4 linked regions of the Notamacropus eugenii genome follow. The protein of the gene in region 1 interacts with the protein of each later gene in a pairwise test. Links are inferred from orthologs where the notes say so. Each region holds a gene or a part of one and is shown in the gene's direction. Other genes may lie near its edges.

Region 1 (7,388 bases):
AGAGTTCCGTTTCATTTGTCTTATATTCAACACTTTCTCTAATCTGGTACATCTCCTTCCTTCCAACCTTGATTGATCTTACTTTATGCACCTGTCCTGTACTCCAACTAAAATTTTCTGTTACCCTAATGTACCATGTATTCTTCTGTCTTCTATATCTTGTAGATTACTTAGTCCAACCTATTTGTTTTGTATATGAGGAAATTGAGGTTCTTAGAGAGAGAGCAGCCAATTTCAGGACTCCTGACTCTCAGGGCTCTTCCTTCTACATTTCACTGCCTTAATGGTCTTCAGCCCAGTCTGGACTTCTGCTCATTTCTTGGTACTTCATAATGTGTCCCTCCATCCACCTCTTTACTCACTAAATTTTGACATACTTTAAAATCCAACTTATACTACACTGTACCTCCACTATGAAGCCTTCACCCGTGGATCTCACGTTTGTAATACTTTAGTGCATTTATGCAATATCATATATTAGGTTTATATGTGTTTTACTTTTCTTACTTAATGGTAAGTTTCATGAGGACAGGGACAATGTTTTCTCTAAATTCTATATCTCAGTCCTAGAAGAGTTTTCTCATATAACAGGCACTTAACAAATGTTTATTAAATGAATGAATACTTGTCATCTCTAACAGATTATAAAATCTTTGGAAGCAGGAACTATATATTATACTTCTCCATAATTATGTTGAAATTACAGAGAGCCCTAAGGCAACATAATGAATTCTGATAAATTTTTGTGTGTCCACGATATGCTGCCTGGGAGGCAAGGATTTAGTCAAATGATCCATTTGAAAGCCCTGACCTAAGAATTGGGGACAAAGGGGTTGGAAGAATAGAAAAGATAATTTCACATTAAGGGCAGGGATTGTTTCAACTTTGGTTTCTATTCCCAGTGCCTAACACGGAGCCTGATATGCAATGGGCACTCAATACACACTTGAACTCCCTGAGCTCCCACAGCTAGTAAGTGGTAGAGCAACGTTTTCTTTCAACCCATGAAGTCCTTCCCCTTGGACCACTTGTCATTGATTTTAGAGAAATCAGAGGGTTTGGGGCTAGAAGAGACCTTGGAGATCACTTATTTGGCCTGTTTCAGTCATTTTTCAATCATGTCCAACTCTTTGTGACCTCATTTGAAGTTTTCTTGGTGAAGATACTCAAATGTTTGGTTTATTTTCTTCTCCATTTGGCCTAATCCACTTATTTTATACAAGAAGAAACTTGGGTCAGAGATGTAAATCCATTAGTCCAAGGTCACATAGGTAGTAATAGAGATGGTACTCAAACTCAGGTCCTCTGCCCCACATGCACCAACTGAACTCCTGGGACTCCCGCTCAGGAAGGTGAGCCCTGAAGCTCTTTCTAAGTCAGAGATTCAGATGATATGAGTCAAAACGGGAGGGAAGCATGAGAGAAGCAAGAGAAGAAGCAGAAATTGGGGTAGAATAAAGGCCAAAGTGTCTCCCTAGTACATTCCTACATTCAACACCAGTTGCCACAGGTGCCATAATATCCATGACCCCTTTGGTATTCTCCTGTTACCACCTTACGTAGTCCTCTCAGATCAGTGTCAGGGCCATGTACACTCTGACAGAGTAACTGCAGCCTGCCTTGGAAACCTCACCAGAAACCACAGGCCTATGGCTCCTCAGGGGAAAGCTAATCACTCATCAGTTAAGTGTGTCTCCCTCTTCAGCAAGATGAAGCGTGTTTCAGAGAATGTGATGCCCTAAGTCACTGTGAAAGTGACACCTCCCTTATATCTGCTTGTAACTCAGGCTAACATATTCCCTACTCACGATGGTGCAATGCTGAGTTCCTTGGTATAGGACACACAGGTTCCCTGGAAACACAGTATTTCTGGGGTACCTAACCAGCACAAAACTGTGCTTAACCAGAAAGGTCACTGCTTTAGGGTCAGAAGACCTAGGCTCATAACCTGGCCATCCCCCTTTTTATGGGAGGTTGTACAGGTCATTTCACTTCTCTTGGCCTCACTTTTCCAAACTTCAAAATTAGGGTGTCCAACTTCTGAGTCAAGGGCCTCTGGGGTGGGGCTGTGAAGCTATTTCAAGGGATCCTTGAAGATATGCCCCAAACAGTACAATTTCAATCCTTATTTTGCTCCAACAAAATATTCGGCTAAATGCACAAGTAAATGTACCTTCTATAGACTCAATATCCCTCAGGTTTCCATTTTTCAAATATATATCTATATTATTTATTGTACTTTAATTACTTTTTTATTAGTTCATATTATTTATACAATTTATAGTTTTGCTAGGGTTGGTAATATCAAAATTACTTTAAATAAATTACTGAATTTATAGTAGCACTTTATTATCACGCATATCCTCAGTCAATGAACCCCATGGTACAACTAGTATTGTATGTGGGGAGTTCTCATATTTGAAAAGGTTGGAATCCATTCTTCTAGATGACCTCAAGCCTCTAATCCTAGGCACTGGCTTCTTTGCTATGCATGTAACTGTGGTCCATGTGGTCAAGGGGTCCAAATGATTCTGTGCTCATATGCATGACCTCCTTAGAGTGTGACTTCCTTACAGGATGTGAGAGCTGGAAGGGACCTTAGAACATAGAATAAGGAATGTTAAAACTAAAAGGGATATTAAAACAAGGAAAGGATAGAAAACAAAGTTTTAGAGTTAGGAAGAAAGACAGAAATCATCTAATCCAACCCATTCATTTTGTAGACGAAGAAACTGAGACCAGAAAGGGAAACCCAAAGACAGGTATGCCGACTCCCATTCTAGGGCTCTTCTCACTGTACCACACTGCCGATATTACGGCCCTTAGCCCAATCTCATCCCAAAACCAACTACATAAAAATTCCTGTCAAATTCCATACCTCATATACCTGTATGACCTTGGGCAAACCTGTGGAGTAGAAAGAACCTCTGGAGTTACAGGACCTGAGTTTGAGTCCTAACTTTACCACATACTACCTCTGTGACCTTAAATAAGTCACATAAGATCTCTGGGAAACTGTCTGCTACTTTGTTTCCCTATTTCAGATCTCTTACCGGTTCAGTCCATCCACCACATCTTCCAAGGCAATTTTCATTAAGCTTTGATCTGGAGATGTGATTTCCCCTTATTCAGTCAACTCCAGTGACTTCCTATTGCCTTGAGAATAAACCACAGACTTCTCTGTTTAGTTTTTAAAACCCTATCCAGACTGGCCTCGACCTATCTTTCTTGCCTCTTTGGATATTACTCCTCCTCCCTTACTCTGTAATTCAGATAAAATGGACTTCTTTCACATCTTATTACCCAGGAAATTTTATCTCCCCTCTGTCTCTTTGCACTGGCCATCCATCATGCCTGAAACGTACTTCCTTCTTACCTCTGCTTCAGAGACCTTTCTATTCCTTTATGACATATCTTAGGCATCATCTTTTACATGAAGCCTTTCCTGACTCTACTACCTTGTGTATAATTAACTACTTCATATGTATTTGTATATTTGTATTTTTTAAAAAATAATTTTAGTGGTATCTGATTTTTCACATCACCATAATTTCTCCCAGTATTTCTTTTCCTCTTCCCTCTCAGAAAGGCATCTCATACAACAAACATTTTTAAAAGATTAAAAAAAAAAGAGGACAAAGAGAGAAATAAGAGAAAAATACCCAGCAAAATCAATCAATATATCAAAAAAGTCTCAAAACACATGCAGTGTTCCGCACTGGCAGACCTCCCTCCTCTGCAAAGGAATGGGGTGAGGGGAAGGGGTATCTTCTCACATTTTTTTCAGGGTCTGGTAATTGTAAAATACATAATCCTTCAGCAGAATGTAAGTTCATGCCAAAAAACTGTTTCATTCTTTGCGTACTAGCACCCCTTGCACCTGGCACTGTGTTAGCCGCGTTTAGTAAACACTTGATCGATGTGGGCCTCAGTTTCCCCATCCGTAAATGCCCCTGGGCTCGGATTTGCCCGCTAAGGTCCCTTCCAGCTCTAAATCCTACGGTGGCATGAAGACCTCTCGCTGTCCATGGTCCCCGTCCCTGACACAAGCAGTAACACACCTCTCCAGACGCCTCCTTGCTGCTTAGGCGTCTCCGCAGTCAGGGTCCACACCCCTCTATGCTTCTCTTTTCCCTATCCGACTCCCAGGCCCAGCTCTCTGAGCGGAGAAATAACTACAACTCCCAGACCACCTGGGAGAGAGGGGGGTGGAGCCAACTTCTGATTGACAGGCGACGTGCCGAACCCTCGCGTGCCGCCAGCGGAGAAGCCTGGGCGCGCGTGCGCAGAAAAGTCGTTGGGAAAGGCTGCGTCGGGAGCCGCAGGCGGCCAGGTAGAGAGGTAGGGAAAGGAGGGGCAGGGGGAACGGGGGGTCGGGGGAGTGGGGAGCAGAGGGTGTGTGCCCCCTTCTAGGCAGCGAGCGGGCCTCCGCATTCCGTCCCCTGAACACCCCTCTTGCCTTGTACCGGGAATGAAACGGTGCGGACCTAGGAAACCCCGAGGGGGAGGGGGAAGGACCGGCGAGGGGTGGGGGGCCGGGGGAAGAACCGGGGGAGGGGGACCAGAGGAGACCGCCCCCCCCAGCCTTTGGGTTGGTGCAAGAAGGAGAACAGTACGCGGCGGGTAGGGGGACAACTGGTAATGGAGTTAATGGTGGACACCCTGGGATGGGGATGGGGGGCGGAGGCAGAGGACCCGATCCTGGGCCTGGGGGAAGGAGCCGGTTGAGAAGAATGACCCCGCCAGGACCAGGGTGGAAAGGGGTCCATCCTCCTGGAGTCCTGGGGAAAGCCCTGGGGAAAGGGGGGAGGGGCCCACCCGGGGGCTTTGATGTGTCTAGATTGTGCAAATAGGTCAGTTTGGGTGTGGCAGCCGGTGGGTTGGGGGGCAAGGAGTCAAGGAGCCAGGATGCCCAAGGCTCGCGTCCGTGTGACCCAGAGACGAGTCCGAATGGGGAGGGGAGGGACCACAGACAGCAGGGGGTCTGGAGAGAGGGGTGAGCAGTGCTGTAGAGACGTGGCACACTGGTACCCGAAGTGCCGGTTCTCAGCAGTCAGCCCCGTCATGCCCTTTCCCTGGGGGCAAGCGTCATTCAGCTTAATCTCTCAAATGCACTAAAGCAGGATTTGGGGGGATCATGGTGGAAAGAGTTCAGAAGGGTTGTAGGCTCACAACTCATTGTGTGACCTTGGAAATGCTCTCGTTTGTGGAATTCAGGGGGACGGAGGGTGGGCAAGGTTTGTAAGGAGGTTTTGTCTGATTTACTTTTCTTCCTTGTGTCAAGCACCGGGATGTTCCTGTTGTTATGTTCAGTTCTGCCAGTCATTGGATTCTTTGTCCTAGGCCTGAGATGCTATGAGCCTCAGTTTCCTTCTCTCTAAATTGAAAGGGGATTTCATTAAATGCTTTTTAAAGCCCTTTCTAGCTCTGACATTCTATATTCTAACATTTCATTTTCTAATTCCTCTTATGGCTTTAACATTCCATATTCTATGAACTTGGGTGGTAATAAAGGTATCGTATGGGTCTATATGTCCCTCTGACACCTTGGTTACTTTTACTGAAGAGTCCAGCAAGTTAGAGTTATCATGCAGCATCCTTCTGCAGTACAGAGAACTCACCAGAAGCCAAAGACAGATGGCCTGGAAAGTGATAAAGCAGACTGTGCTGTTGCTTTCTTAGTTGGAATGGGGAAATGGCTGCTCACTGATTGCATTCCCCACGTCAGGGAGAAAATACAAAAGTCTTCAAAGTCCCAGAGTTGGAAGGGACCTCAGAGACTATCTAGTTTAAACCATACCTGAACAAAGATCCCTTCCTCAAGAGACCTCGAAAATAGTCAGATGACCTTTGGATTTGTGAGGCATGACATTTTGAGGGACACTAGTCAAGCTAGCCCAGTGAGGCTAGAAAGAACTGCCCATCATCTTAAGTCCAGAGCCCTGATAACAGAATTGCCTGAAACAGCTAGACAGTGCAGTGGATAGAATGCCTTGACTGGAGTCAGGAAGACTCAGTTCAAATCCATTCTCCAACACTGAATGTCTACATGACCCTAGGCAAGTCACTTAACCTTTGCTTCAGTTTCCTCAACTGTAAAATGAGGCTAATAACAGTAGCTGTGTCCTAAGGTTGTGACAGTATGTGTAAAGTAATTAGCACAGTGCCTAGCATATAGATAATAGGAGTTTAATAAATGTTTGTTCCCTCCCACTAAATTCTAGGTGGTGTAGTACAGAAGGCAGAAAAAGAAAGTAACGTGCCATTATCATTCCTCCTGGTCATTTTAGAGAGTGAATTGGTGGCATTACTCAGCAAACACCAGGGCCAGCTACTGCAGTGATGAGGAAATAATTAACTGTTCTCTTTGAAACACTGCTCAGGTGAAGACACTGAGCCAGAATGTCTTAAGTGACTAGCCCAAGGTCACACATCCACTAAGAGTCTGAGGCCACATTTGAGCTCAGGTCTTCCTGACTCTCTAGGCCCACTGTTCTTATCCAGTATACCCCCCAGCTGCTTAGGCAAGACCCTGCAACCATTTGCAACTTGATTGGATTTTTTTTTTTTAAATTCAGAAATCCTGTAATTCCTTTCCTTGCCGTAAGAGGGAAGTGACCCTGGGCTCTTAAAGGCTATGCCAAGTGAACATAAACTCTGATAGGTGAAACTAGCCTGGAAAAACTTTGAGTACAGCCTCTGGAAAAGATTTTGCATTTCTCATCCAAGAGCCACCCTGGCTAAGTAAAGAGGGGCTCATATCCACAAGGTTGGCTATCTAGTGATTAATATTTTCAGCCACAACTCACATAGTCTAATAATACTAAGAAGCCATACTAAAAGGTTGTTGTGAATCAGAATTATTTATGGCTCTAGGCCTATATCACTTGCCAAAATATGTATTTCCATTACATGTTCCAAGACTCCTTCCTGCCCCTCAAAAGGACAGTTAGGACATGATCACTTACTTCAAGTACCGGGCTGTCTTATGGGGGAGGAAATCGACTTGTTCTTTTCAATGGCTAGAAGTTTCAGAAAGCACATTTGGGCACAATGTCTGGAAGAATTTCCTAACAATTAAGAGTTTTCCCAAAGTATATGACATGCCTCAAGATCATGAATCCACCCTGCTTGGAGGTCTTCACACAGGCTGAATAATAACTTGTCTGGTATGCTATGATGGGGATTCTTTCAAATTCTTAATTTAATTGTTAACATAACAAATACAACCCCTGCTTCCTCACATGCTCAGTTATTCTCAAGTGCCTTACAGAATTCTCCTGTGACTCCGCACATATGTCAGTAAGAGGACTGTCCCAAGGTAGGGGGAAGACTTTAGGAGTGCTGGATTTTTATTTAGAAGACTTGGGTTCAGATTCTGGCTCTGT
Region 2 (6,967 bases), about 95 Mb from region 1:
AAAAACAAAGCAGAAGAGGCTACCAGAGGCCCTAGGACCAGGTTCAAGTTTATTTTAACAGCTCATGATTGTAATACTTCTATACCTGCCAAGGGTTGGGGAAAGGGACCTTCTCCCATCCCCTCATGGGAAGTCCAAAAAGAGAGAATCGCATTGCATGGATATTAGAACAAGAACGGAAGCTGCCTTTTCTTTTAAACTGATGCAGCTTATCCCTTTTAAATACTTGGTCTCCTCAGGAAATCAGATATACCTCATTTGGCACATTTGTCCACGTCCCCAGTTTTGAAAAGTTCTCTGGAGTACTGAGGGAGGCTTGAGCCTTCTAACCTTCTAACTACCTTCTCCAGGAATGCTAGAGAGTTTCAACATCCACATGAAATGGTCTTCTAAATCCATTGAAAGAGTCCCAAGTAGTCCATTTAGGACTCAGACAATCTCAAGCATAAGAGCCTTTAGTAAGGGGAAGACCCAAGCTTGCCATAGCTAGTGGGCTAGAAATGACAATCACTCCTAAATACAATGGAAACTCAATAAATGACTAAGTCTATGAGTTGCCCCTCTGACCTCAGTGCATGGTTCTTAAAGATCTAGAATAAATTCCTATCTACTGCTAGTTGTTTAATACAGAGGGTCAGTTTACTTTCATTTTCCTTATGCTGATAATCCAGCTTTTTTTTTTAGAATCCTCAGCAGGATGTGGCATGTGAGTCCTGAAGCACAGGACCATAGGGTGCCAGGCTCTCGTATCAGCGATCATCTGGTGCTGTTATCTCTCCATCTTCCTTTCCCAGAATCAGTCCTGAGGTTATTGTATTCCAGTCCTGCCAAACATCCTAAATATTCTTGGCCAGAACTATTGAGAGTCAATCTAGGGGCTCAGGTTTAGGATTAGAATGAAATGACATAATTGCAGACCATATAATCTTTATTAAAAGGATTCTATTTAACAATAGCATGGAAGAGATGTGTAAAGGGAACAGGCATTTATTAAGTACCTCTTATATGTTAGACACTGCGTAAACACTTTACCAATATAATTTTGTTTGTTCCTCACAACAATCCTGGGAGGTACGTACTATTATTAGCCCCATTTTACAGGTGAGGCACTTGAGGTAGATGACTTGCCCAGGGTCATACAGTTAGCAAATGTCTAAGGACATATTTGAACTCAAATTTTTCTCACCCCAGGCTCAGCTCTCTCAACCTACCTGAGCCACCTAGCTGCCATTTAGCACAAAAAGGATACTCAGCAAGGATACAGCATTGGTTCAGCTGACAGTGCCTATCCTGTGTGGTTGGTCCATTGGGAAATGAGATCTGTCAGGAGAGTTATGGTGACTTCAGTTTGCCTTGTGTTAATTTTGTATATATTTTGAAGGTGTTTATATACATATAAATAGGATGTGAGTTCCTCAAAACCAGAGATTTTTTCATTTTTGTCTTTGTATCCCCAGTACCCAGCACCTGGGACATGGTAAATGGCACTTGATAAAAGCTTCTTGATTGGTCATTTGATTGATTGAATCAAATATTTCTAGAATTGTGAAAATGTTTATTTAGAATCATCCTCCTGGCTTTTGGAGGAGAAGATTGTGTAGCAGAAGAGACAAAAGAGAAGGATTTGAGCTGAATAAGAAAGTTAAGGACATCAGGGAGGTAACTTAGAGGGTCTTAGAAACGGGCAGTTGTTTAGAGATTGATCTGGGGAGAACTTGAAGGAAAGTTGAAAGAGAATAAAATTCAGCAAGGAGAAAGGCTAAATCTGCAGGCAAGAGCAGTATAAACAAGACGGTAAGGGAATAAAAATAACAATAATAAAAATAATGAGGTAATAAAAAGGATAAACAATAACATAAAGGGAAGAATAGGTCAGTAAAAAGTGAGAATAGGTGAGTAAAATAAGTTGGGAAGACAAAATCAGAAGTTCCTAAAGGGCCAGGAAGTTGGATATGACTATCAAGTTGGGGTGACGAAGAATGAAACCTAATAGAACCAGAAGAACAATTTCTATAACAATGACATTGTAAATTCCATTTTAATCTGGTTGGGGCTGTACTTGGGAGGGTTGTGAGCAGCATGCAGTTTAAAACTTCTGGTCTAGACAATGAAGAAAACAATAAATCAAGCCATGATTTGTAGGGTTTACTGGTGTCTGAGTTAAAAGAGCTCACGCTGAAAGTTTAACAATTGACTTTTGTGAGCTACTGTTCTGGCAAGCCCATGAGTAAAAGGACAGGAAAAGCGATTGAGCCTGTGATTTAATTGTTATAGAGAATTCCCAGGCGAGGAAATTCCTTCCACCAATGCAGATCAACAGCTTTTTGTAGGGGTGATACAAAATAAAGACTTCTAAAGTCCCAATAACACAAGTATGTGACACCAGTGTAAGTGAATCATTGTCCCTTCCAGACAAAATTTTAAGACACTTCTAACTTGTTAAAAATCCCCCAATAACTTCCTTTCTCCCAGTGAAAATCACTATATTCATAGATCATAAGATAATAAGACCACAGATTTCAAGCTGGAAAGGGCATTAGAAGTCATCAATTCAACTCCATTTTATAGATAGGGAAACAGAGTCAAAGAAACATGAAATGATGTTTTCAAAGTTGTACCATTGAGCCTAAGAAGCAGCAAAGCTGGGATTTGACCCTTGGTCCTCCCTCTAAATCTATTTCTTATACCCTGGGGCAGCTAGGTGGTGTAGTGGATAGAGCACCAGTGCAGGAGTCAGGAGGACCTGAGTTCAAATCTCACCTCATACACTTGACACTCACTAGCTGTTTGACCTTGGGCAAGTCACTTAAGCCCAATTGCCTCATCCTGGGTCATCTCCAGTCATCCTGATGAATATTTGGTGTCTGGAGGAGAAGTGAGACTGGTGACCTGCACAGCCCTCACTCACTCAGAAAAAGCAAAGTCAAGTGCAAATCATGTCATCATTTCTCTGATGGCATGGTCTTCTTCAGCAATGAAAGACAAACATATATTTCTTATACCCTCTAAGTACTAAACTCCTTGAGGGCAGCAAATACCTTGTCTTCTAGATCTTTATATATCCACAGACAGATGCTTAAATGATTACTGAATGATTCGTCATTTGACATGACAAAATAGGGTAGATTTGTTATAATGAATTCCAAGAAACTGCCCACATGCTTCCATTGTATTTCTATTGTTATTTATGGAATATGGGTAGAAATAATTTCACTTGGGCTTGGAAATATCGCTACTCTTTCTAAGATTTTTGCTGCAATGATATTCATCGTATCTGAACATAGTAAGCACATAGTAGACCCAGATTAAACATTTAATAAAAGCATGATTGATGGATTAATTTGAGCTCTAATAATGAAAAAAAAAGGCTCATGCATTATAGCAGTCTTCAATTTAAATAATGAACCACAGTTACAATGAAATCTTATTATAATACAACTTCTTGTTATCCAAATTCAACCGTACTAGAAGTCAAATCATGTTGTCTCCACAGTAATAAAAGTAACCATGATAATAATAAAGGTTCATTACTACATACAGTTCTTTAAAATTTTACATCTTAGTTTCCTAAATTACCCCATGTGAGGTAGGTAGCCTAAATGTTATTATCCTCACATTTTTACAGATGAGGAAACTGAGAGTAAGAAAGGTGACATGACTCGGTTCACACGGTCAATGTCAGAGTCACATTTGGTGAACGTCTGATATAGAATTATAAATGTATGGAGGTTAACGATTTCCACCATAGTTTGTTTCATGTCTGAACTAGTTGACTGGAAAGAGTTCTCTTGTCTTGTCATGCTGAAAATGACTCCTCTACAGCACTGAGTCCTGGATTAAAATGAAGGTCATTTTAATATCTGTGAAGTGGAAACTTGGATGGGATTGTGAGGCGGGATGCAAATGTAACAATGGCTTCCTTGAGTTCCATTGGCTTCAACCAAGAGCCAGATGTTCAAAGACAAGATAATATCATCAGGGAAACAGCTGGCAAACCTGGCCTCCCTTATGCCAGGTATGATCATGGGTATGCTGGGTGCCAGGGATTATAAATATAAAAGTGAGATAGTTCTGGCCCTCAAGGGAGCTTACACTCTATATCAACCTTGAATTCTTGAAGAATATTTGTTGTTTTCAGGACTGAAGTGATGATCATCACAAAATAGCTCCATTGATACAGAATAAGCTAACATTGGAATGAAGATGAGGGTCTAAAGTATAGCAATCAGAAACAGAGACCTATAGAACTAGCTAAAATTTAGTGTGTTCAATACTGACAGATTAGTTTGATGCCCACTGGAATTTTAATTAGATGTGCAATTAACAGTCACAGTCAGAATAAGAAGGATGGCGATATGTTTGTGTGGTGCCCTTAATAATGTATCCTAGCTGATATTTTATAAGAGAAAGGACTAGTTAACAAGCTTCTAAATTGAATTTCTTCCTATATTTCTATTCCTTGGGTAATTTGAGATTTTTGGTTTAATTAAAATATTGTATTGTCTTCAGGACTTGGTAAATACAAGCATGTTTGTATTTCATGAGTATGTTTGAATTTGACAAATTTGCGTTTATTATAGATTTTAAAAGGGAAGCAGTGTGGTATGATAAATAGAGAGCTGACCTCAGAGCTATGAAGACCTAGATTCAAGTTTAGCCTCTGGTATATACTATGTTTAGTCACATTACTAAGTATCCCAGTGCTCTAGGCCAGAAGGGTGAAACAGAAGCCAAATCCAGTTTAAAATGGGAAAAATTGGGAAATATTTAATGAAATAAATAAAAACACAATAGACTATAGATAATATGCATCTATGGTTTTCCCAGTCAATATGCTGTCTGCAAAGAACGTTATATATGGTTTAGTGAACTCCTTTTCAATTTGAGTTTGGTATAGCTAGGTGACACAGTGCATAGAATACCAGGTCTGGATCAGAAAGACCTGAGTTCAAATCTGATCTCAGGCTAGCTATGTGGTCCTGGACAAGTTGTTTAATCCTGTTTGCCTCAGTTTCCTCATCTTTAAAATTAGCTGGAGACGGAAACGGCAAACCACTCCAATATCCTTGCCAAGAAAATCCCAAAAGGGGTTATAAAGAGTCAGACACGATTGAAAAATAAAACAACCTCTGCTCTAGGCAACTCTTTAAAATTCTAGGTTGCAACAGTGTCTGTGATAAAGGCCTCATTTCTAAAATATATAGAGAACTGAGTCAAATGTACAAGAATACAAGTCATTTCCAATTGATAAATGGTCAAAGGATATCAACAGGGAATTTTCAGAGGAAGGAATTAAAGCTGCCTATAGTCATATGAAAAAATTCTCTAAATCACTATTGATAAGAGAGATGCAAATCAAAACAACTCTGAGGTACCACATCACACCTTTCAGATTGGCTAACATGACAAAACAGGAAGATGATAAATGTTGGAGAAGATGTGGGAGAATTGGAACACTAAGTCATTGTTGGTGGAGCTGTGAGCTGATCCAACCATTCTGGAGAGCAATTTGGAACTATGCCCAAAGAGCTACAAAAATGTGCATACCCTATGACCCAGCAATAGTGCTTCTAGGACTGTATCCCCAAGAGATCCTAAAAATGGGAAAGGGTCCCACATGTACAATAATATTTATAGCAGCTCTCTTTGTGATGGCCAAAAACTGGAAATCAATGGGATGCCCATCAATTGGGGAATGGCTGAATAAATTGTGGCATATGAATGTAATGGAACACTATTGTACTATAAGAAATGATGAATAGGAAGACTTCAGAGAGACTTGGAAGGACTTATATGAACTGATGTTGAGTGAAAGGAGCAGAACCAGGAGAACTTTGTACACAACAACAACCAAAGTGTGTGAGGAATTTTTCTGGTAGATTTAGCCCTTTGCAGCAATGCAAGGATCTAAAAAATTCCCAGTGGACTCTTGAGGCAAAATGGCTTCCACATCTGGAGAAAGAACTATGGAATTGGATTGCAGAATGAAGCAGACCATTTTCTCCTGTGTTATGTTATGTTTTGTTTTATGGTTTCTCCTATTCATTTCAATTCTTCTATTCAACATGACTAAAGTGAAAATGTATTTAATAAGAATGTACGTGTAGAACATATATAAGATAGCATGCCGTATCAGGGAGGGAGGGAGTGAAGAGGGAGGGGGGCAAAGTGGGGGAGGAAGGTGGAAAATCTAAGCTATATGGAAGTGATTATAAAAAACTGAAAACGAATAAATTAATAAAAAAATAAAATTCTAGGTGTCAATGAATATGCCAACTTGAATTTGTAAAGACAGCTTCTGTCTCGAATACCTGGGATCTCCTTAAACCAATGAAATCACAATTATCAATTTAAAAAGCAAAATAAAGCTAATTCAGAATCTCTCTTTTCAACAATTAGCCTTAAGACTGAAAGTAAAACCAAAATATAATTCATAAATTTTCTAATTGGTTTCCCTAGCTACATACATTAGCCAAAGCCTGATCTTAACAGTAACGTACATCTGTATGCACACTCACGTACCCTGTGGGTGAGAGTACAATATGTACTTCAAGACAAAAGACAACAATGACTGAAGTCTAAAGCAAGGAAGAATAATGAGTGAATCGTTAATTATGATCCTAATTATACTTCTGCTGCCAAATAAAATCATTTGTTTAAAGTAAGACATTTTGCTTTGATTAAAGACGTTCTCATTAACTGAAACATGTTAGTCAGTGAGTGAGTCAACAGACATTTATTAAGCATTGGTTTTATGCCAAGCAAGGTGCTAAGCATTGGAGATACCAGAAAAAAAAAAGTCAAAACTCTGGTCTCTGCCTTCAAGGAGTTTATTTTCTAATGGGGGAGGTGACATACAAACAACTATCACCATGCAAAATAGATTCAGTATAATTGGAAACTAATTTCAAGGGAAGGCATTGACAGTCAGAAAACAGAGAAAGGCCAGTTACAATAGATGCGATTT
Region 3 (8,018 bases), on another chromosome or scaffold:
ATTTATGTGATGGTGGAGAAGACATCTTTTTGAACCTCATTTTTTCTATTGTAAAATGAGGTATCAACCTAGATGGCTTTTATAGTTCTGTTGGGGGTGTAAGCTCAGTTCCATGTGGATAGTCTCGGGCGGGTGAAGGTGAGAGCTTCTAAACCTTAGAGTTCTCATGAGGCCCCCCAGGAAACAGCAGGGAATTGAGGAGTGAGATCTCGTGTATTTCCGCCTCTTCCCGTGAGAACGTGATGGGAGAGAGCATCCCCGCCCTCGAGACTGGCCCGGATCTGGGCACACCTATTGTAATCTAACAGGCACGGTATTCAGGTGCAAACTATGCGGCAGGAGAGCTTAAGTAGGGTCAGGAAAGCCCGAAGGCGCTCTTAGCGCTGAGGGGCCCTTACAGGACAGAAGGCCCCTTTTCCTCTCTTCGCTCTTCCCTCCCCCCTCTCTCCCCACTTCCACTTCTGCTTTCATTCTCTTACTGTAAGATCTTTGCCTCCTTGGGAGATTTCTCTCTCTCTCCTAAGGAAGAGTTCCCCCTGCACATGTAACCAGGACCCTGAATAAAGCCTAACCCTTGTTCGACTCCGGAAAGTCTCTTCTCTCATACGTTTATCCGGTTTGGCCAGCCGAAGACCTGCAATAGGTAAGGTAAGACTCGGGTAGCCCTCAGGCCTCTAGGCCTGGCATAGTTCCATATCCTGTGACTCACAACATGTATTGAGTGTCTGAATACTAAGGCTCCGAGGTACCACAGGGGCCACAATGCAATACATGCAGGGGTGTGCTGGGGGCAGCTCGTTCTGGCTCTGACAGCTGATTATTATTTTTTCAGCATGAATACTGACACCTTGGAAATCAGAAAATGCTACAAAGCAGGGCTGGATTCACTGTTTTGTGGATTGTTCAGACTTAAGAAAGTGATGAACAAGACGTTAATGGTGAAGGCTAAATGTAAATGTGTGTTCTGAGTATATTTTTTTCAGTCAGTTGTTCAACATTTATCACCATGCACCCCTGTCAATGGACCAATGCTAAGGCTCCTACAATGTTCCGTTATTATTATTTTGTCAATATATACATCAGATTGCCAGAAATTATGTTTCCAATTATTTCCTGAGGTCCAGGACTACTGCTTCCAAAGCATACCGTGTGTCAGCCATAGCCACCTTCATGTACCTGTGGAGTCCTGGGAAACCAGAGAAGACCTCTCCAGATAGACTGCCAGATCTGGAGTCAGGAAGACTCCTCTTCCTAGCTGTGTGGCCCCGGGCAAGTCATTGCACCCTGTTTGCTTCAGTTTCCTCATCTGTAAAATGAGCTGGAGAAGGAAATGGCAAACTACTCTAAAATCTCTGCCAAGAAAACCCCAAAAGGGTCTATGAAAAACAGGAAATGACTGAAGAACACAGGCCTCTCTTGCCTTTACCCATTTATAAGCACGTGTGTGCTTTACAGTTTGAAATCCTATGACTACCACTCTCCCAAGAGAAGGGATGAGGTTCTTTCCAACTGGAGGAGGAGGAGATTTCTAGTCTCTTTCATTCTTTGGGTTCTCTTCAAGCTTTGGGTCTTTTTGACCTTCTCCATCCCCTTGGGCACTTCTAGTTTCTAGCTTTGATGCCAACCCCACTTCAGGATGAAGGAAAAGCCTTGGGAGAAGCCAGCATAAGAAAGGGAAGTCTCCATTGTGGCCCTGTCCCCACCTTGCCCCACTAGAGACTTTGGGGAGTTTTCCCCATGGTGAGATCTAGGACTCTCTCTCCTTTCAGCTGTTACCCCGCTCCAATGGGAGAGTTCCTTCCCTCTGTACTGTTGGGTGTAGATTCTCCCACATAGACATTCTCTGATGTGATTTTCTATCCACTCGGATAGAGATGGGTCTCTTTGCTACTTCCAGTGTGTGTTCATTGTGGACCTGGCATTTGATGGAAAAGGAGTCAAGTCTTGGATACAAACCTTGGGGTCCCACTCTCCCCCGATAATGAGAGAGCCATCAGAAGTTAGACAGCCCCTGACAATCACATTCCCTAGATGACAAGACTGAAGGAGCAGATAGAGAAGTCCAGCCTGGTACCCTCTCTCCGAGGAGAGCAGAGTGGTCAGCCTCTGGCCTTACCCTCTTGCTTCTCCCCTTATCCTCTCTCCACATCCCCACAAGAATGGGGAGGAAAAGCTAGAGATGCCTATTTTTAGAGCCACCACCCAGACACACTCAGGCTACACGTGGAGGACAGCCCTTGCCACCACACCAGGGCCTCTCCACACTACCCTGGAATCAGTTCGACTACCCTACTCCTAAGGACTACAACTCCCGCAATCCCAACGATCCAAGACCTCGTCCATTTCTTGGACCTCAGTACTACAACTCTAACAATGCCCTCTGCCTGAGGGCTACAACCTACCCTACAGCTCCCACAATTCCAACAACCTAAGGCGTGTCCATTTCTTGGGCCTAAGGACTACAGCTCCCACAATGCCCTGCTCCTTCAGACACTGGAACTACAACTGTCATATTATCCTAGATCCACTTCCCCTTAGTCGTGAGGGCTTATGGAAAACTATGACAAAACTTGGTTGCCCAGAGAAGTTTATCAATATAGTACATCAATTTCATGATGGCATGTTTGCTCGGGTTCTGGATAATGGACAAAGCTCTTGTGCCTTCCCGGTCACTAATGGAGTGAAATAGGACTGTGTGCTTGCTCTCATGCTTTTTGGCATGATGTTTTCAGCCATGTTGACAAATGCTTCCAATGAGGATGAACACGGCATCAAGGTCAACTACCATACTGATGGTAAGTTCTTCAATTTGAAAAGGCTACAAGCCAAGACCAAAGTGGAGGGAATGTTGGTGCATGATTTTCTGTTTGCAGATGACTGTGCACTCAGTGCAGCCTCTGAAGCTGAGATGCAACAAAGTATGGATCAATTCTCTGCTGCCTGTGCTCATTTTGGACTAATAATTAACACCAAGAAAACACAGGTGCTCCATCAGCCACCACCACACCATCCATACATGGAACCATCAATTTCAACAAATGGAGAAGTTTTGAATGTTGTAGATAAGTTCACTTACCTTCGTAATGTACTTTCCAGGGATGTACATAATGACAATGAGGTTGAGGCATGCATTACCAGAGCTAGCTCAGTGTTTGGGAGGCTCCAAAGAAAAGCTTGGGAGAGAAGAGTATTAGACTGACTACCAAACTGAAGGTCTACAGAGCTGTTGTGCTGACTGACCTCATTGTTACAATGCTTGTGAAACATGAACAGTCTACCAGCACCATGCCAGGAAACTGAATCGCTTCCACTTGAACTGTCTTAGGAGGATTCTGAGGATCACCTGGCAGGATAAGGTACCAGATACTGGAGTCCTTGCTCGAGCTGAACTGCCAAGTATTCAAACTACGCTTCAGAGAGCACAACTCTAAGGGGCTGGCTACATTGTTCAAATGCAAAATGTACACTTGCCAAAAAGATTACTTTATGAAGAACTCGCATGAGGCAGGCGATCACATGATGGGCAGAAGAAATGATATAAGGACACTCTCAAGGTCTCTCTCAAGAACTTTGGATTTGATTGTGCAACATGGGAGACACTGGCACAGGACCGCTCAACATGGTGTGCCCACTTAAGAAAAAGTGCTGTGTTCTTTAAGCAAAGCAGAATTGAAACAGCACAAAGTAAATGTAGGATGCTCAAATCTGAGACATCCACCCCAAAATTTACACGGACTATCTGTGCCCAACCTGTGGTAGAGCATTTCGAACTCATATTGGTCTGATCAGCCACAGTCAGACATACTGAAATTTCACTTTATCATAGTGATATCATTTTGGTTCTTTTGAAAGATGAAGGGCAACAACCAAAGATCCACTTCCCCAAAGTCACCTTAAGGATCAGAGTGTGTGTGTGTGTGTGTGTGTGTGTGTGTGTGTGTGTTTGTCCTTCGTTGCCAAAGAAAACCATGCCATAATGACATGACTTGCACTTGACTTTGTTTTGAGTGAAGGAGGGTTGTGCAGGTCACCAGCATCACTTCTCCTCCAGAGCCATCTGAATCCAGTGACCAGATATTCATCAGGATGACTGGAGATGACCCAGGATGAGGCAGTTGGGGCTAAGTGACTTGCCCAAGGTCACACAGCTAGTGAGTGTCAAGTGTCTGAGGTGAGATTTGAACTTAGGTCCTCTTGACTCCTGCACTGGTGCTCTATCCACTGCACCACCCTATACCAATCAGATCAAAGAACGTTCCTTTCTTTGCAGGAACTTTGCATCTATGTTGTTTTAGTATCTGGATAAAAGTGCGAAATTCAAAACCAGTCAGAACATTTCAAAATAGTCAAATGTCTGAATCTGGAAAAAAGTAGGCAAATGAATTGAATTCTTGCAGATTTTTTGCCTTGAGTAGCTACAGATGTTACTTAAAGGTTACTTTGCTATGTGTTTAACTAGTTTGGACATTTATGAATAGTTTTACAATTGAATGTGTTACCCTGATCAGTGACAAGTAGTCGGAAATGGAGTCATCCTTCCTTGGCAACATCAATAAATACCTCTGAAGAGGAATCTTTTCTGGACCCAAAGCCTTCAGAAGATTTTTGGCTATCTAAGACCTACAAAAAAGTCCCAAAATATAATAAGATGTCTTCTATTTTCCTCTTTTAATCATTTTTATGAAGGAGGAATCTAGGGATCCAAAGAAGGAATCGAGGCCAATGAGATCTTCAGTACTCAACTTTCCAATTCCTTGTCATTTCAACTAACTTGGTTAGAACCTAATGAATACCTCCTTTACACTCTCTTTTGCAATTCCTAATCACTTGGTAGCTGTACCTAACTTCCCTCACCAGTTCTCACTAACTGAAACTCCCTCTACCTATGTAAGTTGGCACATTCTCTGTAATTTATAGTCCTAGAGAGTTAGGATCAAAGGACCAGAGAGAGCCCCAAAGAACGCCTACCAAGCCCTCCCCCGCTCCGAACTACAACTCCCATGATGCCTTGCTCCCACGCCTCTCCTTCTGGTAGGCCAGAATCCGGCGCAGAAGAGCCCGAGTTCCCTCCACAGCCCTCGGACTACGACTCCCAGCAGCCTCCTGGCCACGACAAACGGTCCCGCAGCCACTTCAGATCCGGAGGCGGCGGCGGCGGCGGCAGCAGCAGGGGGTGAGTTAGAGGGGCCCGGGCCGGGAGGATGCGGAGGGGCGTGCGCCCGGGGGGGTGCCTCCTGGAGGCAGCAACAAGGCTCTCCCTGCTCTCCCCCCACAGCCGTAGGAGCAGCTGGAGAAGATGGCGGCGGGAAGCGACTTTAACCCCGGGACTGAGGAGGAGAGTCCGGGGCTCAGTGCCAAGTGAGCTGGGACCCCAGGACTGTGGGCCCCCATGCCCCGGCACCCAGGGGTCCGGACCCCCGCCCTCCAGGAACCAAGAATTCAGACGCCCAGTGCCGTCCCTCCCCCAACCCTGCATGAGTCCGGACCCCCATCCTTACCCCCTTATCCAGCGGTCCAGACCCCCATCCCATGCTCTGGGACCCAGGAATTCAGATGCCCAGTCTCACACCTCCTTCCTCAACCCTACAAGAGCTCAGCCCACCCCCTGGGACCCAGAAAGTGCTGTCAGCCCCACCCCAAGACATAGGAATTTGGACCCCCATTCTCACCTCCCAGGCACCTCGCTGTCCCAGCACCCAATATCCTAACCTCCCAAAGTCCTCTCTGGGACCCTGGCGTTCAGACCCCCAGTCCGTGCCCCAGTGGTGGCACTGTCCTCTCTAGCCCTACCTCCTTCTCTGGTGTCCAGATCCCTAGCCGTACCCCGTGGTTCCCTGGGGAACCCTAGTGCCTTGACTAGTGTCCGACTCCTATCGGAGACCCAGCTGTCTTGACTCCTCATGCCCAGCTCCTGGCAGCGGGACTCAGGCATCCTGATGTCCCAGTTCTGCCCCCTTCGGGCATCCTTCTTCCTTCATCCCCTCGACGTGCGCCTCGGGACTCGTGTCCTGGTCCCGCACCTCCTGCTGCACTTTGGGACCTTATCCCCTACCGAGCCACTTTCCTTGTCTGCGCTAGGACACTGCTGCCCAAGTTGATGCCGGCGGGCTCAGCCGGCCGGGAGTGGCTGGAGCAGCGCCGGGCCACCATCAGACCCTGGGGCCCTTTCCTGGACCAGCGGCGCTTCTCGAAGCCTCGAAACCTGGGCGAGCTGTGCCAGCGCCTGGTGCGCAACGTCGAGCATTACCAGAGCAATTACGTCTTCGTCTTCCTGGGCCTCATCCTGTACTGCGTGTGAGCCCCGCTCCTCCCCAAGACCAAGCCACCGGGCCGATACTGGTCCCTAAGATACATACTGGGTGTGAGCCCCGCTGCTCCCCAAGACCTAGCCACCACTGGCCCCTAGAATACATACTGGGTGTGAGCCCCGCTCCTCCCCAAGACCTAGCCACCGGGCCGAAACTAGCCCCTAGGATACATACTGGGTGTGAGCCCGGCTCCTCCCCAAGACCTAGCCACTGGCCGAAACTGGCCCCTAGGATACATACTGGGTGTGAGCCCCGCTGCTCCCCAAGACCTAGCCACCACTGGCCCCTAGAATACATACTGGGTGTGAGCCCCGCTCCTCCCCAAGACCTAGCCACCACTGGTCTGTCAGATACGTACTGGGTATAGGCCCGCCCCGTGGCGCAGACTTAAGGAGAAGCCCCTGGCCCCTGTGACACAGAGGTGCAAACCTGCCTTCAGGAAGCAAACTCGGTTGAGACCCCCACCTCCCCCAGGGCGTAAACTTATTGAGAAGTCTGCTCGATTAGCTGGGAGCCCCGCCCCAAGGCGCCTCCTCTGTAAGCTGTAAACTCCGCCCTCTGGTCAGGGTCCCAGCCTGTGACCCTGGCCCTCCACCAGGCCAGTGCTGTCTCCAGGCAGTCTCTGAGTCTCTACCCACTGCCCCCACAGGGTCTCGTCCCCCATGCTCTTGGTGGCCTTGGCTGTCTTCTTCGGAGCCTGTTACATCCTCTACCTTCGCACCTTGCAGTCCAAGCTGGTCCTCTTTGGTGAGGCTTGCCCCCGCATTCCCCAGGGAGAGGGCATTGGATTTTGAACCCCATCTCTTGTCTCTTTATCCAGAACCTGCCCCAGGGCCTTCTTGGATAAAGGAGGCAGTTGGGCCATAAGGCTCAGAAAGCTGGCCTCCCTGATCCATTGTCCCAGGTGTTCCAATAGCCACACCTAAGCATCCAGCTTCCCTCCCACCCAGGGAATGAGGAGAGGCCTGAAAGGGCCCTTAGGGACCTTCTAGGCCAGAACTCATTACTGGCCAACTCTGAACTGCCCCTCTCCCCTCTGGAATCTTCAGGAGAAGAAAACTGAGGTCTTTGTGCCCAGCCTCGTGCCATCTAGGAATGCTAGATGTAGGGTCAGGAAGACCAGAATTCAAATCCTGCTTCAGACACTTATTACCTCTGACCTGTGACCAGGCTTCTGTAAAATGAGGGGTTACCTCACCCCGTGCTCTCTTTGGCTCTACAGTTCTCTTGTTCAATCCTCCTCCCCAGAGTAGGAGCTCCCCTGCGAAGTCCCCCCCCCCCCCAGGCTGGGGAACCTATCCCTCTCATTGACAGATCAGATCTCTGAGGGAGCTCAATGGCCTTGGGGGCTACCTAGAAGGAGATGCCTGTGACCTGGTCCTTGAAGGACAGATTGTTCCCTGGGCTGTCTGGGAAGACTTCTCTGCAGGGGGGATTATTGCTAATGGACCTTGATGAAACTCCCAGAAGAAAAGAGATTCCCCTTGGGGGAGGGGAGTTGGTGAGGAGTTCCTGGAATTTGGCCTTGAAATACAAGGCAGGGAATAAATTTTTAAAAATCCAAGGAAAAGCTTGGAGAAAAGAGTCCCCTAGGGGCCTCTGGATGGCCTGCCACAAGGGAGGTGGGAAGCACTGTAGGAGAAGGGACTTCTGCCTCTCTGGATGTCTTCCACAGAAGGTAAGGATTGTTATGGTAGGAATTCCTCTTTG
Region 4 (7,105 bases), on another chromosome or scaffold:
TGCTAGAACTAAGTAAAGAATTCAAGCCCCATGGGGATCTAGAAACTGGACGTCTCTGACTAAAGGATGAATTCATTCACTCATTCATTATTTGGTTTACTCAACAGGCATTTACAAAACTTACAATTGCACACATTCCATTTATCATGATCTGGAACATTCTATTTATATTCCAAATGTAAAGTCCTCCACTTGGATTCAAAGTACCCAAGCACTTATGTTCCAAGTGTGGCTAGATAGCAGGTTTCTTGAAAAATATCTAGGGGGCTTAGTGGATCATTAACTTGATATGAGCTGGCACTGGTATCAGGTATAAAATCAAAGCAAGAATATGGCAACCAAGAAAACTTGGGAGGCAGCATGACTGATACAATGATTTGGAGTCAGAGGACGTAGATTCAAACCCTTCGTGATCTTGAAAAGTCACTTAATCTCTCTGAGGCTCAGTTTTCCCTTCTGCAAAACAAAGACATTGGCCTCTAAAGCCCCTTCAAGCTCTAAATCTATGATCCCAATAGCCTATGAAAGTTCATTTGAGATTAAGTAGCATTGAGAGAAGTTGAGCATCCCCAATTAGGATGAGTCTTGTTGGGGGGAGTTTGAGTGGAGAACAATAAACTTAATTAAGGACAAAATATGACTCTTGTAATAGTTCTGCCCTCCTCTGCCCTGGTCAAGAGAGGTTCCACACTTGAGGAAGGACTTTGATGAGCCAAAGGAGTGACTGATGGTGACCAAGATGATAAGAGGAGAACAGAGGCTTCTATCTAAAAGAACTCAGGAAATTTAGCCAGGACCAGCCATGGGGATCAGAGGGAGAAGGGGCTCACTTTGCTCTGTTTGGCCACAGAGGGTTGAACAAGAACTATATGTGCACCCGGGTCCTCCGCCTCCACAGACAGCATTCTCTCCAATGTGCTGTCTTCCTTCCCTCTAATTTCCGATATTAATACAGCCAGGCAAAGGAAATGCCAGGGGTCATTTAGAAGCAAATGAGGTTAGCATCCAGCCCATAAAGACTCATCTGTAATCTGGCCTCCAGAGCTCACCAGGATACCACTGGTCCCAATCCCAGGCCCCTGATCAAGAATGGTCTGGTCTGCTTCTATGCCTCAGCCCATTTGCAAAAGCCAGCAGAATCAGCTAGCTTTCCTCACCTCCCCACCTCCAGTGAAATCCAGGCCCCTTTTCCCATTCCAAAAGATCATGAAGATGTCATTGACCCTTCCCTGATTCACTGTAAGGGGGAAGAGGGGACCTAGGCTTTGAATCAACTTTTTCCTTAGCATCAGTTTGTCAGAGAACCTCTCCCGTCTCCAGGGGAAAGGATCCCCTCCCCATCAGAGGGAAGACTTTTCACATAAAGATCAGGCACGCTCCAGAGTCCCAAAGTGCCCCAGGAGTCTGGGACTGGAGTCAGACCATTTGGATTCTGTTCCATGAACTGTCCCTAGTGGCTTACTTTCTCTGAATCTTGAGGAAGAGAGCAGTCTCCTTATCTAACCTAACCTTTCTCATGGAGCTATTGGCCACAGGATGTGAGCCAGTGCATGCAGGGAACTTGGGAAATCACAAAGCACATTATAAAGATCAGCTATGATTCCTGTTGATATGACAAGCTGGTAACAAACCAGGGGAATCCTCTCTGGTCAGCCAGCAACTTACATCATAGATATGGCACTGGAGATGGCCTTTAAAGAGTTAGTCCAATCCCCTTAGTTTACAGAGAAGGTAGGAGAGGAATGAAGGAAAAGAGCAGGCTGTCCAACCACATGAGGTTGGGCCATAGGTCTTGAGTGCTGCCCCTTGTCCGATAAAGGCAGAATGATGCAGTGGTTAGAGCACTGGACTTGGCATTAGGAGAAGAAACATGGCTACATTACACAGACCCTTGCCTCCTCTTGCCTCTATTTCCAACCTTTCTGAGAAGTTCAGTGTCATCACAGATGGATGAGAGGGATGTTGGGGCATTGCTAGTAGAAACAGGGGGAAGTAGTGTAAGAGCAAGAGCACAAGAAAAGAGACCAGGCAGGAGGAATCCCAAAGTCCCGGAGATGGCATAGCGAGAACTGGCATTCAGCTGCAGCCTCCACTACAAGCAAATTCTTTTCCAAAAGATGAATTTTCTTTTCAGGAGGCCCTTCCCAGGGGCAGGCCTTTTTGTCTCCAGCCTGTTACAGTACAAACAGAGGATCAGGGACCTTTGTGATCATTCCTCCCTCCCCCCACCCCCCTATTTTTTACAAAGGAGAAAATCAAGACCAAGAAAAAAAGCGACTTGTCACAGAGGGAGAAAGTGGCCAAGCAGAGATTTGAACCCAGGCCCTTTGACTCCTGAGTTGGAATTCTTTTCACTACCCCACCTGCCCTGCAGTATGCTGAGGACGCCACTAATAATAACTCCCATCTGGATAGCACTTTAGTGTTTATAAAGTATCTTCCAAGAAGAACTCATGGTGAAAGAGGAGACTATGAAAGTGCGATTGTCCCCATTTTACAGAGGATGGAGACTGCAAGGCAAACTCAGCTAATTTCCAACATTACATCACTAGGAAGATCCACCAAAGCCAGGACTCAAGTTTCCTGATTTGACCTGGTCTAGCATTCTTTCCCCAAGACCAAATCTCAGTAGCAGCTGCTTACAGGAGAAGGTGATGGCTCAGCCTGAGATAATGGAGTGGGTTTGGACTTCCTGAGGATCAGGATGGATTTCAGATTGGATTCAGCCACTTGGAAGCACAGGCTCTCCCTCTGTGCCAAGGGTCTCAGCATTCCTGTTTAGAGGCCACCTCCTCTGGAATCATTATAGTCTGAAGAAGGAGCCTTGGCCTAGAGCAAGGATTAACTTTGTCTTTCTTTGCATGCTCTGCACTTAGCACTGTGCCTGCACATAGTAGGTGCTTCATAAATACTTTGATTTGATTCGAGAGTCAGGAGGCCAGGATTCCTGCCCCAGCTCTGCAACCAATGAGTTGTGTGACCTTGTGCAAATTCCTTTTCTTCTATTAACCTCAGTTTTTCATCTGTAAAATGGCTAGGGGCAGAAGCTGCTAACTAGGTGATCTTTATCAGCCTTCCTAACTTAGATAGTTTGGATTCTGGGTTCTAAAGACTCTTCCAGTTCTGATATTCTAAAGTCTCTCCCAGCTCTGACATTCTATGTTCTATGTGCTAAGGTCCCTCTGTTCCAGTTTGATGTTTTGTTCTAAAACACAAGCTCCCATCCTCCTAGTTGTCTTCTAAGGTCTCTCTCAGCTCTGACATACTATGGATATTTCATGCTAAGATCTGCTCTTTTCAGTTCTCTCATTCTATGTCCCAAAGTCATAATTCTCCTATCTCTGGAAGTCTCTATTTTGTGTCATAAGATTCTTTCCATGTCTTCTAGCTCTGACACCCTAGACACCTTCTAGCTTTGACTTTCCATATTCTAAGGTGTCTCCTGACCATGACATTCTGGGTTCTCACCATATTCTAAGTAGTCTCTTAGCTCGGCCATTCCATATTCTAATGTCCCTTCCAGCTCTGACATTCTTCATTTGTTTTTTTAAATTAATATTTTATTTTTTCCAATTACATGTAACAACAATTTTAATATTCTTTTCTTTGAATTTTGAGTTCTAAATTGTCCCTCCGTACTCTCCCCCCAAGCAATGTGATATAGGTTACATGTGTGTTGACATTCTGAGGTCCTTTTCACAGTCCCTTCCATCTTTCACCAGCTTTTGGTCCAACTAGAATGAGACCATGCCTTGCCAAGCACCCTGTGGCCACCAGAACAAAGAAGCTCTTGAGTAGTCTCTAAAATGTCACATTACGTAGGACCTTTTTCCATGGGAAAGAGAAGTTCAACAACAGGCAGAATGTTTACACTTTTCACCTAAGATCTGAGTAAATATTGCAGTAGAACCCCTCCTCTCCCCTCCTCCACCCAAGGGGATGGTCCAGGAGCTCCCCACAGGACATAAGAGCGAATCCTTGGTGGGTTATGTTGACAGTACCTCCACCACCTCTCCAGACACAGACTGACCAACCCGGCTCCACCATGAAGCTGATCATTGTTTGCAGTCTGGTTGCCCTGGCCCTCTGCTGCCACTGGGGTGAGTACGTACAGGCTTGAGGCAGGAGAAGGTGTAGATCCGCAGCTCTCTTGGTAAAGTGTAGGGACCCCCAGGAACCCCCAAGACTCTTTCAGGGGGTTGGAAAGGTCAAAATTCATAATTCATAAAAATTATAAAATGTTCTGAATTGTAACACAGTAAATATTGATAGATAACCCACTCAAAGCTCTCTGGGGGAGTTCTCGCTGAGTATAAAAGTGTCCTGAGACCAAAAACCACTAAAGTAGACCATGTCTTCCTTTCACTCCACAATAATGTGGAAAGTGTAAAGATTAGCATGTCAACATTTTCATTGCAGATGAGGAAACTGAGGTACAGAACGATGAAACAACATGGCCTCAGCTTGATTTCAAGCCTTACCATTTGGTACAGGGAGACTTTAGGCAAATCCTTTCATTTCTCTGGGTCTCTTTCTCCTCATCTGTAGAATGAGGGCCCCGAGAACTCAATGACCTAAAAGGTTCTTTCCACCTTTCAATCTGACTTGCCCAAGATCTGGTAGCCAGGAAGTGTCAGAGTTGAGACTAGAGTCTTTTGCCCGAGTCCAGGACTCTTACCATTGCACCATCGAGGATTCGTGACTTTCTCGGTGTCTACCAGCACAGAGCGCAGTTAATTTGGCAGATGGGTTCTAAAGGTTCGAAGAAGTCAGATTACTAGCCCATAATCACAAGCCTAGTAAGTGTAAGAGACAGAATTGGAGCCCAAGCCTTCCTGGTTCTAGGTCCAGAACTCTGAGAGATGATGGTTAGATAGAGTTGGAAGGGTCAGACAGGGTTCTCTATTCATTATCATAGGAAAATAGGAGATAAGTGCTGTTCTCACGCCCAATGTAAAGAGGAAATAACTGAAGTTCAGACAGGCTCTTACATACACATAGATTACACTTTTATATTATATTTTATTATATTTGTATATTGTATTTAAATATGCATACACATATGTATGAATATATATTATATATAAACATATATTTACTAATATATACATAGCCATAGAAAGTATTTTGCAATACTTGAAGACTGGAGGCTATGTCCAACATCCAGTATAGTACCTGGCACTTAATAGGATGAAGAAACGTCTTTTATGTTCTGGGCACTATGCTAAGCACTTCACAAATATTATCTCATTTGATCCTCCTGTGAGGTAGGTTCTGTTTTTATTCCCATTTTACACTTGAGGAAACTGAGGCAAACAAAGGCTAAATGACTTGCCCAAAGTCACACAACTTGTATCTGAGGTTAGATTTGAATTCCAGTCTTCCTGACTCCAGCTTCAGGGCTCTAACCTAGCTTCCTCCACTGGAATTCATAAATGGTATTAGTTTGTTGATTAATTGATTGATTAATTGAGCTATCATTATCGTTATGAATGATATTATCAGCATCAAATATGAATCCGTGAGTCCATGAAGTCAAAATGCCTGTCTGGAGGCAACAATGGATAGAGGACATAGACAAAGAACCAAGTTTGTAGTCTTGGCGCATATTCATTTGGGGCATTAATTCCTGGTGTGACCTTTGTTAAATCATTTCCCTTGCCTGAGTCGCATAGGAAAGGGCAGAACTGACTGACCCTTTAAGTCCTTCAAGGCTCTAACTCCTAGGATCATGGCTGTCCCTCTTGGGGGGCCAGCTGTGCTTGGAAAATGGCTTTGATAAACCCAGGCCTCCCTCTTCTATCTCCCCTCCAGCCTCTGCCCAAGTCTGCCCTACTTTCCCAGAAGTGGCCAACATCCTGTTCAAGGGCACGCCCCAGGAGTATCTCAAAGCCATTCAGTGTTTCCAACCCGATGAGGCCATGGAGGCGGCTGGGAAGCTGCTGAAAGCAAAGGTGGACACCCTCTCGGAGGTGACCAAAATGGACATTGTGAGGCTGATGGTAAATATGGGCCTTTGGGTTCTTCTATCCTTTCCTTCCCTCGTACCTTGATTGTTTGGAGCTTGATTTCCCCACAGGCTGGACCACTATGTCATCCTTTAGGTGAAACTCTCAAAATAACATAAACATTCAGGAAAGGAAAAAAGGCCCCAGGGGAGAAAGGCATCATCTACAATGCCCCCAGTGGGCACCAGCCCAGGTGCCTCCAAAACTTAAAAAAATTCAGAAAGTCACTAAGGTGGCTTCTTGGCCAATTTCCCTGACATGAAAGTGGCTATATGAGATGCTCTCTGGTCAAAGGCCCCTCATCTCATACGCTTTGCTTTATATTTTTTCAGGAAAAAATATTGGCCAGAAACTAACGTCGTCAAGCCTGCTTATTTCATTTCCCAGATATCACCAAATGCCGAATCTCTGAAGGCTGGCTCCCAGTGGTTTCGAGGCCAGGACTCTCCCCAGCCCAGCTCTCTGTCCTTGTCCCCAAATTAAACTGAAAGCATTTGAGTCCGTGTGTCAGACCCTTATTTGTCTACTCACATCCACACAGGGATGAAAAGGGTGAGGGGACATTCTGGGAATAGGATCAATTGTTAAGTAAGAGCTTTTGGAATCCCAGGTGGCCCAGTAAAGGGGGGGGGGGGGGTGGAGCGGGGAGCCTGAGTGTGTTTCCAGCTGTCTTGGGGTGGATGAGCGCAGATGCAGGGTGGGAGGCAAGAGCTCAGGACCTTACTGGTCCCTCCCACCAAAGTCCACAGGGAAGGCATTCAGGGCAAGAGAATCAGGGACAACAGGGACAACCCACAAGCCAGAGACTGGAAATGCTAGTGCTTTTGCTCCCTTGGGTGGTCCAGGGAAACAAGTGGAAAGACTAAGGAGAAAGAGATGTCCCCAACCCACATGACTCCTATATGAGGAGGAGAAAGGCTTTCTGGGAGACACATAGTCAAAATTTGAACCCAGAGCCTCTACAGTACCATATTAACTCCTTAGAGCTGTGGTATTTCAGTGGAGGGACCTATCCTACAAATTCTTGATGTAGGGTTATGAGCCCAGAGCAGGAAGGACTCTTAGACACTCTTGAGACCAACCTCTCACTTTATAGA

Evidence for each region.
Region 2: the proteins of TRIM32 (region 1) and CLIP4 interact in binary tests that used the Homo sapiens proteins (3 or more experiments, as listed by UniProt). The two-hybrid records come from large-scale screens. The link is inferred for Notamacropus eugenii from reciprocal best matches to the Homo sapiens genes TRIM32 and CLIP4.
Region 3: the proteins of TRIM32 (region 1) and RABAC1 interact in binary tests that used the Homo sapiens proteins (3 or more experiments, as listed by UniProt). The two-hybrid records come from large-scale screens. The link is inferred for Notamacropus eugenii from reciprocal best matches to the Homo sapiens genes TRIM32 and RABAC1.
Region 4: the proteins of TRIM32 (region 1) and uteroglobin-like interact in binary tests that used the Homo sapiens proteins (3 or more experiments, as listed by UniProt). The two-hybrid records come from large-scale screens. The link is inferred for Notamacropus eugenii from reciprocal best matches to the Homo sapiens genes TRIM32 and SCGB1A1.

Annotation. Positions count from the first base shown.
Region 1 is NC_092872.1:436,320,126-436,327,513, forward strand, and holds the start of TRIM32 (E3 ubiquitin-protein ligase TRIM32), read left to right. Parts: upstream 1-4,256; 5' UTR 4,257-4,341; intron 4,342-4,398; exon of another isoform or gene 4,399-4,479; intron 4,480-7,388. UniProt on the Homo sapiens protein: E3 ubiquitin ligase that plays a role in various biological processes including neural stem cell differentiation, innate immunity, inflammatory resonse and autophagy.
Region 2 is NC_092872.1:530,826,447-530,833,413, forward strand, and holds the start of CLIP4 (CAP-Gly domain-containing linker protein 4), read left to right. Parts: upstream 1-3,940; 5' UTR 3,941-4,015; intron 4,016-6,967.
Region 3 is NC_092876.1:25,773,663-25,781,680, reverse strand, and holds the start of RABAC1 (prenylated Rab acceptor protein 1), read left to right. Parts: upstream 1-5,015; 5' UTR 5,016-5,173; intron 5,174-5,275; 5' UTR 5,276-5,296; coding exon 5,297-5,358; intron 5,359-6,078; coding exon 6,079-6,294; intron 6,295-6,957; coding exon 6,958-7,055; intron 7,056-8,018. UniProt on the Homo sapiens protein: General Rab protein regulator required for vesicle formation from the Golgi complex. May control vesicle docking and fusion by mediating the action of Rab GTPases to the SNARE complexes.
Region 4 is NC_092873.1:15,569,508-15,576,612, forward strand, and holds uteroglobin-like, read left to right. Parts: upstream 1-3,976; 5' UTR 3,977-3,988; coding exon 3,989-4,100; intron 4,101-5,814; coding exon 5,815-6,002; intron 6,003-6,340; coding exon 6,341-6,364; 3' UTR 6,365-6,506; downstream 6,507-7,105. UniProt on the Homo sapiens protein: Binds phosphatidylcholine, phosphatidylinositol, polychlorinated biphenyls (PCB) and weakly progesterone, potent inhibitor of phospholipase A2.